Diceros bicornis minor: one gene and its partners. The main gene of each other region encodes a partner of the protein of the gene in region 2 in a complex. Links are inferred from orthologs where the notes say so. Each region holds a gene or a part of one and is shown on either strand. Other genes may lie near its edges.

Region 1 (7,175 bases), on a different chromosome or scaffold from region 2:
ATGCACTCCATTCTATAGATGAAAAAACTGAGGCTCAGCCAGGTTATATAACGTGCCCAAGGTCACACAGACATAAAAGGCAGATCTGGGACTCAAACCCAGGACTGTTTCCAGAGATGGCAATTTGCCTGCTATACTGGTTCAGGCTGGTTTCCCAGAGTGCTTGCTATCCCTATAGCAACAATGAGAGGAACTCTTGTGCTGACAGCACTTTATAGTTTATGCAGGCCTTATTTTTTCTGCTCCTCACAACAGCCCTGTAGGCAGAGCTGTTATCATACCTATTTTATAGATAAGGAAACTGAGGCTCAGAGAGGGGGCGTGACTTGGCTGAGATTACAGAGCCGTGAAGTGGCAAAGTTGGGACTCAGAGCCAGTTCTAAGGGACTCTAAATGTCTTTTTGCTTCCCCTTGCAGAGGAAGAGTATCTGCTCCCTGCTCTTATCAGCCTTAGGGGACAGGGAACAGGCAAGGGTTATTTTTTAGAATTGGTAGGAAAGGAATGGAGGCTTGGCCCTCAGAACCTGGGGACTTGCTCCAGGCAGTGAAGAATTCATTGCTCCACACGATAACTCTAACTCCCTGGGAAGAAGGAGGGCTTGCCCTCAAGAGCAGCAAGCCCTCCTGAATTCCGAATTCGGTCCGAGTTCCCAGGTTGGGTTTAAATTCCAGCCTTGCTGCTTCCTGACTGGGTGGCCTTGGGCAAGTCACTGAACCTCTTTGTGCTTCTTTTATCTCATTTGTAAAATGATGATGATAACAGGACCTAACTTATAGGATTGCTATGAGGATTTATGAGTTAATGCATGTAAAGCACTTAGCACAGGGCTGGCACAGAGTAAATGCTCAATGTTAGTGCTTATTGGTTAATATCAATTTAATTACTATTAAAATGCACAGCACCACCCCCTCTGAAAGCAACTTGTCTATCTCCATTGCCTAAAAGGAGAAACTAAGGCTCCTGTTGCCAAACAACCTTCAAGCAAAGCCCCAGAATCTTACCTAGTATAGGTAGTATACTGATATCAATAATTATTATTAAGGGCCGGCCCCGTGGCTTAGCGGTTGGGTGCGCGCGCTCCGCTGCTGGCGGCCCGGGTTCGGATCCCGGGTGCGCACCAACGCACCGCTTCTCCGGCCATGCTGAGGCCGTGTCCCACATACAGCAACTAGAAGGAAATGCAGCTATGACATACAACTATCTACTGGGGCTTTGGGGGAAAAAAAAATAAATAAAATTATTAAAAGAAAATAATAATTATTATTATTAAAATTAACATCCAACAACTGCTTCCTATGTGCCAATCACTGTGCTAAGTCCTTCACATTTATTATCTCACTTAATCTTCACAGCTCTGGGAAATAGAAACAACTATGATTCCCATTTTGCAGATAAGGAAACTGAGGCTCAGAGAGATGAAGTCACCTGCCCAAGGTCACACTGCTAGGAAGTGGTAAACTGTGATTTGAACCCAGGCTGCCTGGCTCCAGTCTTCTCTGACAATTAAAGTCAGATGACAACTCGCCCAGTGCATAGACGCTTACATCAGCTCTCTCCCTAACGCATCCGCTGGATCTGCTGCCTCAGGCTCCCCTCCCTCCATGCTGGGAAGGCCAAGCACTGTTTATGGAGCGCCTTCTATGTGCCAGAACGCTTTATACTTTTTAACACATTTCAACATTGAATCTTCACTGCCACTTTATGCCCCTCTATCATTATCCCCATTTCTCAGAAGAGTGGCTGAGGCACAGAGAGGTGTGGGGACTGCTCAAGGTCACACAGTCCGAGGTGAGATGGCAGAGCCAAGATTGAAACCCAGGTGGGTTGGCCACAAAGCTTGTGTTCTTTCAAGAACTATCAGAAAAGCAGAGACCCTTGGAGACCAGCCCACTCTCAAAGCCAGTTTCCCTCCCCTGTAAAACCTCATTTGTTTAGGCCCTGTGTGAGAGTGCGTGCGTACAGGCATGCATGCATGAGAGCTCTACCCTTCCTCCCCATCGCCATTATCCCCATTGGCCTAGATGCCTTCCACACCCTTTCTCTTGGCCTGCAACACTTCTCCCAACCACCTGCTGCCTAGTTAACCCCCATTCATCAACTCACCCAAGACATCAACTCTTTAGGAAGCCTCCTCTGACCCCACCCCATCCCCTGACATTCACTCTCATAAACACATTGTACTTTGCCTTCTTGTTCCTTATCACAGTTTCTAACTGTATTTTGATTCGTCTGATCATTTGTTTAACGACTCACTTCCTCACCAAACTCTAAGCTCCATGAGGGTCTGAGTCTGTTTTGCTCACCATTGTAGCTGCACCACTGGCCGGCTGCCCTACACATGATTGGTGCTTAATTTTTTATTGAATGAATGAATCCATGAATGAATAAATAGCTCCCAGGCACTTTACACACATGACTCATTAATTCCACAATTAACTCATTGAATCCTCACAACTGCCCTGTCCTCCCCATTTTAGAGAAGACGTGGGTAGGTGAGGCTCAGCTAGAAAGTGCTGGAGCCTGGATTCCACCTCAGGTCAGTCTGACCCCAAAGCCACTGACCTCTGCATAGCACCTGCTGCCTCCCAGCACCCAATGGCCACAGTCAGGATTTAAATAGTCACTGGTTGTCAGACCACACATCCCAATTTGAGCCTGGAGGTCACTGACTCAGCTGGCAACTGGGGCCTCGTTGGCACCACCCACTTGGTGCTCTCTGCCCTGCTAAAGTCTTAGGCTGCTCTCCCTCCCACTCTCTTCTTGGCTTCCTTCCTTTCCAGAGGGAAAGGGACTAGGAATTACAGCCAAGGCAGCCCTTCTGGGAAAAACAATCCTGCAGTGAAAAGAGCCCTGTTCTGAGAGCAGAGAAACCTGGATTTAAGTCCTGGCATGGAAGCTGCCCCTCTGAGGGCCCACAGTAGCGTCACTGTCCCTCTCGGAGCTTGTGTGTCCTCATTTGGGATTCTGTCTGGGTTGCTGACCCATCTGCCATCCCTTACTCACTTCCCGATTCCTAGGACCTCAGAAACAGCTCGGACACACCTCTAGGGTCACATTTCCCTGGAACCTTGGTGACTAACAATAGCTAAGGGGTTGCTGTGTCTATGTCTATGGTGACCACATAGAGGGGGGACTGGCCTGGCACCCTCAAGACCCTCCCTGGAATGCTAAGGGGTTGGGGGAGGAAAGTCTTTCTCAGGGGACACCAAGCCTGGAAGGGAGAAATACAGGAATGGAAGCCAAAAGATACAGGTTTGAGTCCCAGGATGTTTCAAATTCCCTGGGTGACCCAGGGTAAGTCATGGAGTTTTCAGTTTTCTCTTCTGCAAAACGAGGACAATATCCGCCTTACCGAGTTGCTCTAGAGAACTAAATGAAGTATCTTCGCTAACTTGTGTATCTGTCACATTGATACCCAGCTGCAGCCTTTTATAATCAAGATGCACATATACCGACTCATGCATGAATCCTCAACAAACACTCCAAGATAGGAGGCAGACATGACTGCTCCTATTTTGCAGAAGAACAAACTGAGACCCAGATAAGTTCAGGCAGTTGTCTGAAATCGCAGAGCGGCGTGGCGGCTTAACCAAGTTCTACTTTACCCGACCCTGGCCTGCCAAAACCAGCTTCTAGTCCCAGAAGCTCGGGCCTCGCCCCGAACGGATCCCTCCGCGGCGGACTGGAGCCTATGACTCACTTTCCCCACCCTACTTTCGGCCGGGCCTGCGACCGAGAGGGAAGGGACAGAACCATCTGCAACGAGGGGTGTCCACAGAAAGGTCTGGGCTTGGCCCCTTCCTTCCACCAAAAACACTGGTTCTTTGAACTCTAATAGGAATAATTCGTCTTTTAACAAACTTTGTGTGAGTTTTTACACTTCCTTAGGGGAGATTTTCCAACCTTGAATTTAGGAGTTGATTTAGTTTAATCTCCACCCCCACTTCACTTGGTTTGCCCCGCCGCTGTTTACTCTGATTGCGGAAGTAGCTCGGGTGGAGCTCCAGGGACGGTACACTTGAGTACGTCTTTTGCGTAGCAATTTAACTGGCATTCCACTCAGGCCAATGGAGTGCCCGGAAGCCCCAGGCGGGTGAGGCAGAGAGCCAATCAGGGTTGTTGGCGGGGTGTGGCTGCGTCCCAGGGCGGGGAGTCGCGTAATGGCGGACGCGGGCCGGTGGAGCGCGGCTGGGGGCGTAGTGCGTTGAGGGGGTCTGGCTGTGTGGCAGCCTGCGTGGCGGCCCGCGGTAACAGTCCCCGTGCCGAGAAGGGCGGGCGGCTGGCCCTTCTGTCGCTGAGGGTAACCGCGCGAGACCAGGTGAGCAACAAGTCCCCGCGAGTGGGCCCCACCGTGAGGCGCCGGGCCCGGCCGGGCCGCCCCTCCCGAGCGGCGCAGAGTCCCGGGGGAGTGGGTGCCGCGCCTCCTGCCGCGGCCAGGCAGAGGCCGAGCGAGCGGGCCGCGAGGGGTGGCGTCTTTTTCTACACTCCCTTCCCCAAGGAGGAGGTGTCCCGGAGATCCCCTGGGAGAGTTGTGGGGCCTGCGAGTCTGTGAGGCTGCGAAAGTGCCCCAACCTGACTTGGCTCTGCCACCAGCTCTCTGTGTGACCTTGGGCAAGTCACTTCCTTCTTTGGGCCTCAGTTTTCCCATTGGTAAAACGAAGGCTCTGCAGGCAGATGTACATGAGTTGGATGCCAGATGTTGTCTGAGATCTTGGGTAAAGTCTTCACCGGGCGGAGCCTCAGTTTCCATCTCTGGGCCATGAAAGAATTGAGGTGCTCTTTGAGACCCTGGTCTGCTAAGTTGCAGAGTAGTGGAGGGGACTGTCTGTGTGTGTGGGTACACGTACGTGTGTGTACAGGATGGTACTGCAGAGTAAGGAGGAGAGTTGCCTAAAGGGGCTCTGGATGGACCCCAGACTGTGGTGGGTGGAGTATGGTTGTCTTGGTCCTCCAGGATCCTAGAGCCTCGGAGATGGGGAAGTTTTATGCAGTTCTGCATAGAATTAGAGAAGAGGAAGGGTCTTCGGAACCTCTTGGGGCTGTGATTGAAATTTAGGCCCAAAAGAATTCAAGGAGGTTAGGAAGAGAAGGGAGAACATTTATGGTGCTCCTACTATGTGCCAGACCTTGTTTAGGCATATGTTCTTATTTAATTTTTACAGCTGTCTTTGAGACTTTATTTACACATGAGGAAACTAAGTTTCAGAGGAGTTAAGTAACTTGCCCAAGGTCACGCAGTATGGTGCAGAGTTTACCAACGATAGGGTATTTCCTTTGAGAGTCACTGGGCAAGGGGGAAGTCACTGCCCATTTAAAAGAAGTTTGCTTTGTCACAAAGCGGGAGAAGGGTCTGGTCCCAGACGCTTGAATTGACTTCTGGCGTGGAGATAGGCCAGGTTTTGATCTCTGCCTGGGTAATTATACGTGCATCCCCTTTGTTCAGTCTGTGAGTTGGAAAGGACCATTTCTGAATTGTAAAAGTCACATTGAAGTGTATCAGAACCTCAGAGAGCTCAGTTTGAATCCTGACTGGGTGGCCTGTGGAAGAAAGTTCACCAACTATTGGTGTATAAACTTGACTCTTGGTTCAGAGTGGTGCCAGCCCAGTAACTTTCTCCTCCCTAAGAAGGCCAGGCTTTCTTGGGATGGGAGAAATTTCCCATTTGTTAGTTCAGATTTCTTTGGATTCCTGGAGTGAAAGTTTCAATAGCTTGCCTCTGATTAAGCGAAGTGTTTCTTGTCTTTGTGCTCTCTGTTATCTGACTTCTAGATGCGTGAAGATTGTGGACCTGGAGTGGGAGGTAATTGGGTACTATAAATTGCAGCACTAATTTTTCCAAGTCTCAAAGCTTTTGATTAATCGAAATGGTAGGACCAGCAGTATGTATTGTTCTCATATGTCAATGGTAGGGAAGAAAATTGGAAGAGGAAGTTACTGAGAAAGAGGGCGTTTCTTAGCAGTGGAGCCAATATGTATTTCTTTGTTTGAAATTCTAAAACCAGAAAAGCAGCAACTGAAGGAGGAAGGAAGGAAAGAACTGTGAAACTCTTCTTCCCATTCAGATATCTTTAAGTGCTGTCCCTGTCTGCTCTGCTTTCACAGAAAAAGTTAATTATAATTTATTCAATGTTCAGAAATTGTATTCTAGAATGAAATAATTTTAAATTTTAAACCCTCTGAGATAAATATTTTAAAAATCAGAACATTTTACTGAGTACTTTATTGGTGGATGATTCTTTTTCTCAACATAATTACCAATTGCAGTCTGTTTTAACTGTGCATTAAATTAGTGGATTTCAACCAAAGAGGAATTGATCTAAATATTGGATGATGCAAATGTTACCATCACATTAAAAACACATAATGGTGTGTTTGGTTTTTGACATTTGTTAAGTCTTTTTAATGCTTTATTTTACAGGATTATATATGTGTGAATAGTTGTTAAGACATTGAATTTATTGCATGTGAAGATCTATCTTTTTTTTTTTTATAATTTTATTTATTTATTTTCCCCCCAAAGCCCCAGTAGATAGTTGTATGTCATAGTTGCACATCCTTCTAGTTGCTGTATGTGGGACGCGGCCTCAGCATGGCCAGAGAACCGGTATGTCGGTGCACGCCTGGGATCCGAACCTGGGCCGCCAGCATCAGAGCGCATGCACTTAACCGCTAAGCCGTGGGGCTGGCCCCAGAAGATCTATCTTCATTGTCAGTATTAGTTATATTTTCTGTATAAGATTTAGTCTTAACTAGTGTACCAGTCCACATTACCTTGGGGCCACAAAAAAAGTTCTTGGGGCCAGATGTGTTTCTGAATTTAGAATTTTTTGGATTTTAGAAAAGGAATATGGTACATGTACTGTGTGTTATGTAACATCCCAGAAAATTCTGGGGCAGCACCTTGTAATCAAACACATTACTATTTCTGTAGTAAAATGTCAGAATTTTCACACCAACTGGGATAAATAAATACTATAAATAGCCTCATGTCATTTCACGTCAGAATTTGCCGCCAAATGAATAATGAAAAGCTTGTTTTTTACAGCCTTTTGGATTTTGGAATTGAAGTTAAGGGATTGTGGACCTCTATGGATAAAACTTAGGTGATGACAAGAACAATTACAAGGAACAATAGTGTAAACCAAGCTAATTTCAAAACCATGGGTCCTAAAA
Region 2 (6,868 bases):
AGGGGTCGCCCCGATGGTGTAGCGGTTAAGTTCACGTGCTCCGCTTCACAGCCCAGGGTTCACAGGTTCGGATCCCAGGCGCGGACCAACACACCACTCATCAAGCCACGCGGTGGCGGCATCCCATATACAAAACAGAGGAAGATGGGCACAGATGTTAGCTCAGAGCTAATCTTCCTCAGCAAAAAGAGAAGGATTGGCAATGGATGTTAGCTCAGAGCCAGTTTTCCTCACACACACAAAAAAGCACCCAGTCAATAACTTAACTCACCTGGGTATAAAAAATTCTCAAAACACAAGCGACCATACACTTTCCCTGAGAAGAGGTATGTTTATGCAGGCTGTTGATTATAACCCAATCAGGGTCACAGAAGGGATACAGAAAGATCTCAAAAGACATCTAAATGGATATTTCTAGTACTACTTGTTCCCTATTCACAGCACCAAAGTTAGCAGCACAGCACATCATGAAGTCAGCTACCACATCAACTTCCAGAAAGTCTCCATCATCTTCCCAGCCTGTCTGAGCCTGACCCTGTCTGAGCCTCTTGGCAAGGCAGCTAGTGGCCTGCATCACATAGCCCAAAGTTTAAATGCTACTAAGATAAACATTGCTATGTGTGAATTTCATCTTTTTTCCCCCCAGTAAGATCAGCATACTTCACCAGTGTCAAGTTTAAGACCGCCAAAAAAAATTAGGGGCCACTAACAGTGGCTCTTGGCACCATGGTACTAACATGTTTAAAAGTAAGAGACTACATGAAAAATAACATGACTTATCTTAATTAACGGATATTACCAAGTTTAGAAGTGTTTCAAAGTTATGTGATGGTAGCAGGAGGGGAAAAGGAAAGGTAGCAGGGGGAAAAAAAGCCTTAGATCACACAACTACCTGAAAAAAAAATAGTCAACAGACAGGTTAAAACACGTTTGCATTTGCCAAGACGTAGCAGTTACCACACCATATATTTGTCAGATTTCCCAACATGCAGAACAAAAAGAAGCCACCCCTTCATGAAGCGATTATCTGCTGACTTCTACAAAGAAATGATTTTTCTAGAATGAGGGCAATATAACTTCCTGTGACTTTGACTTTCAAAATCTTTAAAACATTCAGCCAATTGAGATTTGCCTCAATTTTAAGGCTTTTCATGTTAAGTTAAATAAAAGGTGTATATTTTTAATATCGATAAACTACAAGATCACTTTTCTATTTAAAAACCATATCCACATTTCTAACATAATTCAGAATATTTTTAAAAGGCTAAATATAAAGTTTGCAAAAACAAATAATACAGTAGACATGGCAAGCATTCAACAAGTTTATTTATCAGTAGAATTCCTAAAGTAAAAGCTTGAAAAAATTTGAGATAAATTCCTACCAGTACTACTGAAGATACAATGTTACTAATACGGAAACTGAGAATATTCAAAATATTCTGAAAACAGTATCTCCTTCTAAAAATAAAGCTGAAAACCATTTGCCAACACAAACTATTGATTTTTAAAAACGATAATCACATGGGAGGCATTTCTATACATACTTCAGTTGTGAATTGCAATACCCCTAACCTTTCAAAGCACGTTCTGGTCATGCCTTACCACTAACAAGCGACTTTTTGGTGCCATTATATTGATACAAAGGCCTCTGCTAATTGGCTTCTACTGCAAACTGCTGGTTTACGCAAAGATCTACAAACCAAACTACCACAACATAATTCACTTTCAATCACTAAAATAAAAACGAACAAGCAAGCATCTGTCACAGAAAAGGCCCCAAGAATCTGCTAATAAATTTACAGTAAGACACTTTACGTTATGATTTTAAGACTAAATATGTCCTATAATCTACTTAATTTATATTCTACACATTTACTTAGATTGGAAAGAGAGAAACCTCAGAAAATAAGCAACCGGCGATTACACCATTCTATTTTAAGTTACTTAGGAAGCCAACAGTTCAAGAACTTTTGGGGACGAGAGCGTATTTAAGGCATTTTTCCAAGCGGTTAAGAACAATCTGTGTTTTATAGTAACGATAGCCCTAACAACCTCTAGAATAGATTACGGTGGGGCGGAAGTGAAAACGATGAGAGGGAAAAACCCGACTTGCAAACGGACAGGCAGGCAGATTTACAAACCTTCAATTAAAGGAATTTTGAGATTAACTTCTCTTCTACGCCCTCCCTCGCTCCCCACCCGCTTCCTCCCCTCCTTGGGGAGGTCTGTGTAATGTGACTCATGACAAATTTTTTAAAAAATAAATAAATAAAAGACACACCCTCTGGGTTGAACTGACAAAACCGCCCCCACCCCAGCCTCCCCCGCCGCACGCCCCGCTTTTCCTCTCTCCCTGCGCCTCGTCCCTGCCCTTCCCTCTCCCCTCGCTGCCCGTCCCAGACCCCTCTCCCGGCGGCGGGGCGGCCGCCGGCTCTCCGGGACAGCACCGGGGAAGGGAGGGCTGCGGGGGGCGGCGCGACTGGGGGCCGAGCCGCGGGGAGGCAGACGGCAGGGGGCTCCGGGCTCCCTCGCCCGCTTCCTCGCTCCCCTTCTGTCGGTTTCACCCACCACAGCCACTTCCTGTATGGCAGCCCGAAACCCTCACCCGACCACTCGCTCTCTCCCCGGCTGGGATTTGGGGCTGGGGCTGGGGTTGGGGCTGAGGCGGCCGCCGAGGTTAGGGCACTTCCCCACCCCGCCCAGCGGGCTGGTCACTCGGGCGGCCGGCGGCGGGGTCCTCGGCCCGGCCGGCCAGCGCCCGCCCGCGCGCCTCACCTGTATGTAGTTGTTCTCACAGTAGTCGGCCACCCGCGTCAGGTTCTGGTAACTCTCTATCAGCGCCCTCTTGCCGGACGGGATCTCCTCCTCTAGTAACATCTGCAGCTCTGCCATTTTCCACCCCTCCGCATCGCTTCCTCTCGCGTTAAAGAGACAGAAGCAGCAAGGTCCGCGGAGCCTCCGAGCACCTCACAGCCCGGATACAAACCGCCTACCCGCCCTCCCGCCTGGTATTGTGGGACGGCACCTCCTCCTCTTCCTCCTCGCTCTCTCCACCCCCTCCTCCCACTTCGCGCAGCCGCCGCAACCTCGTTTTCTCGCGAGCCTTCGGGTCTTTCCCTCCCCCGCCCCTCGACCACGGGATTCCCCCCCACCCCCGGCATGGTCTTCTGGGAAGTGTAGTCTCTCACAGGCTAGGTTAGCCATCAAAGGCGCATGCGTCCAAGGAGCCTCCGAAAAAGCACGTCAACTCAAGGGTCGGGGGTTAAGTCTGGAGTTTCCTGACAGCTCCGGGAGATGGCGCCACAGGGTGATTGAAGAGAATAAAACCGGTTCCTCCTGAGAAGGCTGTGAAACTTGGCAGAACTTGGTTAATTAGGAAATGTCAGTGAATCAGAGATATCAACTCTGATAAGAATTAAAAAGGGCTAGAATATGGAAAAATTCTAATCTTTACTTCCTCAATCTTCTTAGAGATAGCGCAACTCGGGCTTTACTTTCTAAACTTCCGCCACCCTCAATTCATTTAAAATTTAGCAAATATGTGTTATCGCCAGCTCTGTACTGTAACAAATAATGCAAGAAACATTGGGAGTACAAGTTGAGTAAGGATACTCTATACTCTTAAACACTCACAATTTAAAAATAAACATAATTTTTAGTGCTATCTTTAATCTCTTTTTCTTTGACTCTTCTTTGCACGTATCTATCTACAATTTTGAAGTTATGTACACGTTATCTATGCTGTATAAAATTATTTTGGTTTCTTTTGTTATCAACTGCTTTGGAATAGTCTAAAAGGCCCTATATTTCAAGGATTTCATTTCAACAGGATCATTAAATACTTTTGATATAATGGGCTATGAAAGTGTCCAAAGGTAGAAAAGGAAACTAATTTAAAGATCATTTAAATATCCATATTTTCATCTCTCTATGAAGTCGTTTAGAATCACAATAACTATAGGAATAATAATGTGGCTCAACCAGATTTTAAAAAATTGACCCATCAATAGGTATTTATTGAATATTGCCCATACTAGGGGCCATAAAATGCTCAACCTCTACAAGGAAAAACTTTAGTCTCCTACCTGAAAGAGATAATCAGCCCCACCCACCAGATTCCCAATCAAGGATTCTAAGGTCCATCAATAAATAAATGGCTTACTCTCAATAATTATCTGGAATAGACATAATAGTCTTTCTTTAATATTTATCGTTAATCCAAACATTATTTAATCCAATATTAAAATTTGATGTATTCTTGAACTTGGTCTCTACATGAGCCAGATTTAGCTATGGAAATCACTAAGTTCGTTTATATCCATATGTTGATACGTTTCAACAACATTGGGGGAGGGGTCAGACAGGTGATGCTGCTTTACTACTTTCAAAGTAGTATCAAATTTCTTTAATGCTCACAAGTCTGAAAGATAAATGACCTAAAGATTCCTTTCTACTTTACCAAATAAGGAAATTTAAGCTTAGACAGGTTAAGAGATATAGCTAAGGGCGCTGAAAACAGTAGTAAAGTCCTCTGACTGCCAGATCAGTGGTCTTTCCACTATTCAGTTAAAACACTTGTGGTTCAAATAAAGTCCATTCAAAGAAGTTATCCCTCATACCTCTAAGGTGATTGAATTGAATATGCTACCTTTTGTTTTTGTTTTTGTTTTTTGTGAGGAAGATCAGCCCTGAGCTAACATCCATGCTAATCCTCCTCTTTTTGCTGAGGAAGACCGGCTCTGAGCTAACATCCATTGCCTAATCCTCCTCCTTTTTTTCCCCCAAAGCCCCCCAGTAGATAGTTGTACGTCACAGTTGCACATCCTTCTAGTTGCTGTATGTGGGACAGGGCCTCAGCATGGCCAGAGATGCGGTGCGTCAGTGCGCGCCTGGGATCCAAACCCGGGCCGCCAGTAGCAGAGCGCACGCACTTAACCGCCAAGCCACGGGGCCGGCCCTGTATTTTTATTAAAAAAAAAAAAAAACAGTTTCCCTGATAATTGTAGACTATAATCAGGCAATATTTCTTTACTTGAAACCAAAGGGAATTTGAGGGGATAAAACCATAAAACACAGCACCATACTGTAGCCATTGACTTTCAGCATTTATTGACACTAAAATTTATATGGAACGACAAAAGACTTCAAATAGCAAAAGCAATCCTGAGGAGAAAGAACAAAGCTGGAGGGCCAGGCCCAGTGGCCTAGAGGTTAAGTTCAGCATGCTCCACTCAGTGGCCTGGGTTCAGTTCCCGGGGGGCAGACCTACATCACTCATCTATCAGCTGCCATGCTGTGATGGCAGCTCACATACAAAATAGAGGAAGATTGGCAACAGATGTTAGCTCAGGGTGAATTTTCCTCAGCAAAAAAAAAAGAAGAACAAAGCTGGAGGCATCACAATCCCTGACTTCAAACTATACTACAAAGCTATAGTAATCAAAACAGCATGGTACTGGCACAAAAATAGACACATAGATCAATGGAACAGAATTGACAGCTCAGAAATAAACCCACAAATCTATAGACAGCTAATCTTCAAGAAAGGAACCAAGAACATAGAATGGAGAAAGGAAAGGCTCTTTGATAAATGGTATTGGGAAAACTGGACAGCCACATGCAAAAGAATGAAAGTAGACCATTATCTTATACCATACACATAAATTAACTCAAAATGGATTAAAACTGTGAAGGTAAGATGTGAAACCATAAAACTCCTAGAAGAAAATATAGGTGGTACACTCTTTGACATTGGTCTTAGCAGCATCTTTTCGAATATCATGTCTACTCAGGCATGGGAAACAAAAGAAAAAATAGACAAATGAGACTACATCAGACTAGAGCTTCTGCAAGGCAAAGGAAAGCAGGAACAAAACAAAAAGACAACCCACCAAGTAGGAGAAAATATTTGCAAATCATACATCCCACAAGGGGTTAATCTCCAAAATATGTAAAGAACTCATATAACTCAACAACAAACAAACAAACAATCCAATCAAAAAATGGGCAGAGGATATGAACAGATGTTTTTCCAAAGAAGATATACAGATGGCCAATAGGCACATAAAAAGATGTTCAACGTCACTAATCATTAGGGAAATGCAAATCAAAACTACAATGAGATATCACCTTACACCTGTTAGAATGGCTATAATTACCAAGACAAAAAATAACAAATGTTGGAGAGGACGTGGAGAAAAGGGAACCCTCATACACTGCTGGTGGGAATGCAAACTGGTCCAGCCACTATGGAAAACAGTATGGAGATTTCTCAAAAAATTAAAAATAGAAATACCATATGATCCAGCTATCCCACTACTGGGTATTTATCCAAAGAAGTTGAAATCAACAGTTCACAGAGGCTTATGCACCGCTATGTTCATTGCAGCACTATTCACAATGGCCAAGACCTGGAAGCAACCCAAGGGCCAAACAACTGACAAATAGATAAAGAAGATATGGTGTATATATATATACAATGGAATATTACTCAGCTATAAAAAGACGACAAAATGGTTCCATTTGCAACAACATGGATGAAACTTGAGGGTATCATGTTAAGTGAAATAAGCCAGACAGAGAAAGACAAACACGTATGATTTCACTCATATGTGGAAGATAAACAAACACGTGGACAAAGAGAACAGGTTAGTGGTTACCAGAGGGGAAGAGGGTTGGGGGGTGAGTGAAAGGGGTAAAGGGGCACATGTATATGTTGATGGATAAAAATTAGACTATTGGTGGCCAGCACAATGCAGTCTATACAAAAATTGATATATAATAATGTACACCTGAAATTTCACGGTGTTATAAACCAATATGACCTCAAAAACAAACAAACAAATGGGATTTGTGGGGACAAAACCAT
Region 3 (6,917 bases), on a different chromosome or scaffold from region 2:
GAAGTATTTTTCATTGTGTATGCTCACTAAAATATTTCCATTGCAGACTTGCAATTAAAACAGCAAAGTAACCAGATCTGATAGACAATCTAATGCACACATGCATTAATAAAAATGTGATAATTGAGTGGTGGACATGTACTATGTGGTGGGAGGTTTTTTTGAGGACCAGAAGATTGAGACTGAAAAGATCACGTGGTTTATACTGTCATAAAAATGCAGACAGCATGAACCTTATAAACACTTGGTGAACAGATCTTACTCATTTTGGCAAAATTTTTGAACAAATGTTTCAATTCCTAGCCAGCCGGGAAGATATGCCAGTCTTAGACAACTCTGCAGAGGCTGAAAGATTCAAAATCTGATGCATTTGTATGCAAAATTATTCAAGGAAAGCAAACCAAAAATTATTAAAACTAGAGCAAGATTATACACACACACTCATATATATGTTAAATATATACATATAATATAATATACATAATATTCATCCGTTTCAACAAGGCCTAACTGAAGGCCTCATGGACCACCTGAGGCCCTAAGTACCAGTAACTCAAAAGTGAGTAACACTGTCCCTGCCCAGAGGGAACTCACAATCAGGCAAGGTAGATAAAATACTTCTCAACAAACCATAAATATGTTAAGTGTTGAAATATAACATTTCAATAACTCAAAATATTTGACACTAGGATATAATGATCACATTCAACTCATTTTAAATTTTACTAGTGCAGTAATACAAGAGCCTCAAGTTTCTCAAAACAGGAAGTGAAAAAAGACACTTTTGAGAAAAGACAGTGAACTGAAATTATAAGAGTTCAAATGCTTCGAATTTAGTATAATCTTAGTTAATTTATGAAGGTGGATTATGCAAAGTTTGATTGTATTTACACCATAAAAATGTTGAACGAAGGCTTAAAAAAACCTATTTTGCCCAAATACCCAAATCACTTTTGATGTTAACTCTCACTTCCTCTTCTGGAAACCATCATAACCATTTCCTTTAACCACAATACCACAGGTCTAGTAACTTTTAGTAATGTTTGACTTGTTCGTTTTTTGGACAAGTTCAGATAGGAACCAATTTCCAACTTTGTTAAGGAGTATAATGCTCACAAAAAAGTTTAGGTCAATGCAACCTATAAGTAATACTACCTAAAATTAAATTATTCCCAACCTACATAAATGTATAACCAAGGCTCTCTGATAAATGCAGAGGGCTTCTTTCTAATGACACTGAGCTCCTGCCACATAAAATATAACCAACTGAATAGGCATGTTGCAGTTACTCTCCAAATTGCACTGAGTTTAGAGTCAATCAATCCTTGCATCCAGGTGAGCAACTGGGAGCATTGCTATCCTTATGCAATATTTATCACTATTAAGTCAGGTCAGTTTTCTCCTTTATAATTACAATGTCTACATCAAATTGTTTAGTTTTATACTTGAACCCCATGATAGGAATTTCAAAAAGATATTCTTTCTTCAGCAGCCCTAATTTACAAGCACTAACATTCTATTGCCATGAAAGAAATATTTATGATATACTAAAAAGCCAACAAAAATTATTATGAAGACATGACATCAAATACACATTGGAAACTCTAAGGATCTAGATTGTACCAAAAAATCTCTCTCATTTTCTCTTAACAAATTCTTTAAAATTTACTAACCTTGTCTTCAAAAGGATTTTGCTTGTTTTCTCTTAGAGATAAATTAATATAATATTTGTTCTATCTTTACATTTATTTTTCTTAATTCCAACTCAGCCTTCCATTCCTTAATCTGCTGAAGCCATATGAAGACTTTCAATGGGCCTATTAGCTACAGCTACTCAAATTATCAGCATATGCTATAAATCAGCAGTGACAGCGACATACCCACAGTTTTTATTTTGTACCGACGCCGAACTTTAAGAAATGGTGTTTGGGTACTATCAGACAGGGCTGGAAAAACCAAGATGAGGAGGAGTAAAGAGGGAAGGGAGAGAAGGTTGTTATTCCTGTTCTAGTGACTCACAGCCCAGGAGTATTTCAGAAGAAAATTGGTTCCACCCTCACTTCCCCCTCCTCTCCACCTCCGAAATGACATGATCTCAAACGGTCAACCCGCTCTCAAATGGCTTTTATTTAGCAATCTAAAATAAAGTGGCAAAGTGGAGGGGATGTGGGGTTCATCCTGATTAGGCATTCCTTTCCCACATTCCCACACTTACACACCAAAAAAATCCAGAAAAAACTGCTACCATCTCCGCCAGATTCCTACCATTCAACCCCAGTTAGGGAACACCCAAGTTCTCCTATTCCCCCCCAATCTCGCCCCCCCCCGCCACCCTCCTTTTCCAGTGTACCCCGTTCGGGGGCGGGGGTGCCGGGGAGGGGGCGGCAGCGACCCTCACCCGCAGCCGGGCCCGGCCGGATTCCGGCGCCAGAAGCCGGGAAATGGCTCCTCTCGGCCTCCGGCCGGCCCGCGAGCCACCGGGGAGGCGCCCGGACTCCGCATTAGGCCGCGGCGCATCCTGGCGACCCCGGGCCGGGCCTGCGGCGGCGAGGCCGTGATTTCTGCCCCGGGCGCCGCCCGCCGCCCTCACCCCGGCCGCCCCTGCCCTCCATCCCTCCTCGGCCCGCCCGCCGCCCCCGCCGCGGCCTCGCCGGCCCGTGCGCACCTTCTTGATGTTGTAGAGGCGGGTGAGCATGCCGACGCCCCGGTCGTTGAGGATGGTGAGCTTCTCCGCCAGCTTCTGCTGACTGGGCTGCAGCACCGAGCGCGACATGGTGGTGGAGGAGGTGGTGGAGGAGGTGGTGGTGGTGGTGCCGCCGCCGCCGCCGGCCGCCTCGCGCCCAGTCCCCGGCCCGCGGCCTCCGCGGCAGCCTCTCCCGGGCCTCCTCCCCTCCCGCCCGCGACCTCCGCCTCAGGGGAGCGCGCCCATGGCCCGGGCGTCCCAATCCCGCGCCGGTGACAGAGCGAGCCGCGGCGGACGCCTCGGGGTCCCTTCCCCCGCAGCAGCCTGCGCCCCGGCAGCCTCCTGCCTTCCGCCCGCCGCCTTTCCGTCCCCACCCCCGGCGCTCTCCGCCCCAGCCCCCACCGAGCCGCCTTCCCGGGCTCCTCCACTAGGTGTGGCGGCGGCGGCGGCGTCTCCGGCGGCTGAGAACGAGGCCGCTTCTCGCAGCCCCGGACGAGCGCTCGGTCACCTGATCGGTCGCGCCGGCGCCCCCGCGAGGCCGGACGGAGAACTGCGCCTGGGGGGCCCTCGCCCTCCCCGCCCCGCCTCGCCGCCGCTCGGGACCCGGCTCGGGCCCCAGACCCGGCCCGGCCCGCCCACTGCGCCTGATCCCGGCATGCGAGTCCTAACCCGGGATCGAGGCGGGTCACGTTTCTACGCTCGTCCCACTTCGCCCCACGCCCCTCTCCTTCAAGTTCCCAAAAGTTGCTTTTCCGCCCCACCTCCCCAAAGAAAGCAGCAGAAGCCCGGAGTGGGTGGGTTTCAGGCGAGTTTCGCCTAAGAGTGGGCTGGTGGCTCCAAGCTTTTTTTCCTCCCACTGCTTGACAGACGCTTTCCGCTGAACATAGCAGATGTTGTGCTCCGCGAGGCGGGCATCGCCTCTCCCATCCTCCCCATCCCATCGCTACTCCCCCGCCTCAAGGCAGTTTGTGAGAGAGGAGGTCGGAAGTGAGGGCGACTCAAGTTCCTGAGATAATCAGAATCCGGAATTTGCCGACGAGGAGCACCCATCCGGAGAAAACGCTAATAGAGAGGCCCTGGCATGTGGAAGGCCAAAAATAAAATGTTCAATGAATGAAGGAACGCCCCCATTTTTTTCTGACCTCCACCCTAAATCCTACCCCTTCTTGGAAACATTCTACTTTTCTATCTCATTGTTTCTTTCCTGATCAATTTCTTCCCAGCCAGGCTCCAAGACTACTCCCTTTGGTCAAATATATTAGACACGATTCCAAAAGTGAACAAATCAAGGACTTATGTAATTGACTGGGGTGAGGTATTCTAGCCAAGACAATTGAAGCCATTTTAGTATTTTTGGCCTTGATTTCCTTCAATGTGTTGATCTTATATTATGTTCATTAATTTTAAGTGAGTGACAAAATGTTCTGCCACCTTCAATAAAAGACATTTTAAGAGTAAATAAGCTATCATTGGATTGATCAAAACTTTATGAAAAGGAAATTGTGACGAATAGATTTTAAAACATTTTTTAAAGCTAATAAATGTACTATTCCTACGGAAATCTTCATTTCAATATCCCAACGAGAGAGAGGGAGTTAATGGAATGGATTGCATTTAAAGGCCGTTACAAAGAGTCCTACATCCACCAGAAAGTCTATCATACCTGACATTGTGCTTGAAATTCTATGCATAGAATTTCATTGCCTTAAATGAAGGCTTTGTACCTAGAATCCTTTTTGTTTGTTTTAAATACAAACACCTCAGAGAGATCACCTATTGAGCTATTATTAGTCAATAACACGTTAGGGGATTTAATTTATCTGGTTACTTTCCAACCTGATAGTTAAAATTTTAATTTAGAGGCGACCAGTGTCTGGAGCCTGAGAAAGTGAGAGCACAGCTGGGAGAAGGGAGGCTGCATGAGGGGTTTGGGGCAGTCAGATGGGAAAACTGAAAGGTGTTGAATGTTGGGGGAAAGATGTGCTCCTTTAGAGGACCACAAGCAAATTTAACTAGAGTCAGAATTTCAGAGTCCTACCAGTGAAAGCTTACATCATTTTCTAGTTTTTCAAAAGTGCCGTATAGCGAGAACAAGAAAATGGCACCATATAATTTGAACACAACTGTTACTCCTCAAAAAAGCCATATCATGTTTCCATCTGAACTTGAACGCTTATAGCTGCTTATAACGCAGAGAGTACCCAATAAAGGGAGAACTCTGAAAATAGTAGTCTCATTCAATATTTATTACAACTAATTTTTAGACATATTGGCCCTAGACTGAGTGGAATATGTCTATTTGAGTAAAAGAGATTAGGTCTAGATGAAGTATTTACAATTCTTGCATTTCTCTGCATTTTGCATCAAAAAGTATTTTGTTATTAAGATCCAACCCTTTCAAAGTTTGCCTATATGTGTAGTATAAATATACTGTCAGTGCTAAGGTAATAATCATATATTTTGCTATGCATGTATGATTTATGGCTATTGTAATTACTATATGTCATTTTATATTTACTTTCAGGTTTTCAGTCTTTGAGAATATGCCATACCATGTGAATCAGCCTGTAAAGTTATTATGAAAAATTGCTCCTGTTGTGGATTTTTTTTCCTGTTGTAGTTTTCTGGAAAACCATAATATTTTTTAAATGATTAGGAAACTAAATTTTAAAAAGCACGATTGAAAATTTTATTTACCTCATCATACAAAGCATTGTCTTCACAGTTCCTTTGGTACTAAAGATTTTCAAATAGTTTCACTTCAGTTAAGAGATTTCTGCTGTTTGTCCCCAGAACATATTCAGAAATCACTGAAATTATTATAAGCCTTCAGAGAGACGTAGCAAGTAGATGATAGCTTCATATTTGTAGTAATCTTAGAAAATTAACTAGTAAAGTTAACTAGTATAGACCAGTATGCCTAAAAAAGTGTAAATTTTACTGTATGTAAATTATATCTCAATAAATCTGACTTTTAAAAAGTTATGTATCGGGCCAGCCCCGTGGCTTGGTGGTTAAGTGCGCGCGCTCCGATGCTGGTGGCCCGGGTTCGGATCCCGGGCGCGCACCGAGGCACCACTTCTCCGGCCATCCTGAGGCCGAGTCCCACATACAGCAACTAGAAGGATGTGCAGCTATGACATACAACTATCTACTGGGGCTTTGGGGGGAAAAAATAAATAAATAAAATCTTAAAAAATAAATAAATAAAAAGTTATGTATCTATGTTTGAAAAATTATTTTTATTGAGACAAGTATAATGGTACCCACTCTAAGGAATGTAAGCATTTGAAAATCCAAACTGGAAAATACTTAAATTGAAGGAGAAGTGAGGTTGACTTTATAAAAGTATTTATAATAGAATTACATTTTGTGGCACCCAAATATATTTTACAATGATTCAATTATAAACTTCTACTCATAAAATTTCAGAAACAAATCTATGATACACAGCTTTTATATATGTATTATTACAAAACATTCAGTCATTTATAGTAACAATCCTGGATGGATTTAAAGAATACTTTTCAATTCTATGTAATACATTAAACAATCAAATACTTAAAGTATGCAAAGTACTGTTGTTCTAAAGGAGATATGAAGCTGTATAAGATCTAGATTTTGATTTCCTTGAACTCACATCCTGGTGAGAATAGAAATATACATAAGGAAGTCTAATATAAGGAGGCCTGAAATACAGGGCTATAAGAGAAGACCTAGAAAGAACAGTTTCAAGCTGAAGTTGCTAAGAGCCCTTTTGCAATACCTTACCCTTGGGCCTTGAATGAGAAGTAAGTCTTGGACTTATAAACTTGTAGAAAATGACATTCTAGGCAAAAGGTTCGACTTTGGTGAATGCAAAATAGTAGGAAAGTGCTGGAAATAATAAGAATGTTCATTACATACATGAAAGAAACAATGAGAAATAAAGCCAGAAAGAGAAGTGGAACAGAAAATATGTAAGCTTATGAATGCTAAGATAGGGAAAAAAATTCAACGAAGAAGAAGAAATGTAAAAAAAAAATGGGAGAACAAAAGATGACTTTTGAGGACTCAAGGATAATAAAGATAATTTGAAAATTATCTTTATCACAGTCGCTGACTGTGACAGGGTCATTGATTATCCTTCAATAGCTGTTGTTTCTTTCTCCTTTAGAAATAGAATAAAGACTACATCTCCCAGCCTCCCTTGCAGCCTAGTGTAGCCATAGGACTAATGTTCCAGCCAATATGA

The links. Proteins that work in one complex are often made in the same cells at the same time.
Region 1: ABI1 (region 2) and WASF2 share a complex: the UniProt entries of both Homo sapiens proteins name them as parts of the WAVE2 complex. The link is inferred for Diceros bicornis minor from reciprocal best matches to the Homo sapiens genes ABI1 and WASF2.
Region 3: ABI1 (region 2) and NCKAP1 share a complex: the UniProt entries of both Homo sapiens proteins name them as parts of the WAVE2 complex. The link is inferred for Diceros bicornis minor from reciprocal best matches to the Homo sapiens genes ABI1 and NCKAP1.

Annotation. Positions count from the first base shown.
Region 1 is NC_080752.1:43,073,522-43,080,696, reverse strand, and holds the start of WASF2 (actin-binding protein WASF2), read left to right. Parts: upstream 1-4,151; 5' UTR 4,152-4,319; intron 4,320-7,175. UniProt on the Homo sapiens protein: Downstream effector molecule involved in the transmission of signals from tyrosine kinase receptors and small GTPases to the actin cytoskeleton. Promotes formation of actin filaments. Part of the WAVE complex that regulates lamellipodia formation.
Region 2 is NC_080775.1:25,872,603-25,879,470, forward strand, and holds the start of ABI1 (abl interactor 1), read right to left. Parts: upstream 3,005-6,868; 5' UTR 2,893-3,004; coding exon 2,776-2,892; intron 1-2,775. UniProt on the Homo sapiens protein: May act in negative regulation of cell growth and transformation by interacting with nonreceptor tyrosine kinases ABL1 and/or ABL2. May play a role in regulation of EGF-induced Erk pathway activation. Involved in cytoskeletal reorganization and EGFR signaling.
Region 3 is NC_080749.1:62,921,892-62,928,808, forward strand, and holds the start of NCKAP1 (nck-associated protein 1), read right to left. Parts: upstream 3,025-6,917; 5' UTR 2,774-3,024; coding exon 2,666-2,773; intron 1-2,665. UniProt on the Homo sapiens protein: Part of the WAVE complex that regulates lamellipodia formation. The WAVE complex regulates actin filament reorganization via its interaction with the Arp2/3 complex. Actin remodeling activity is regulated by RAC1.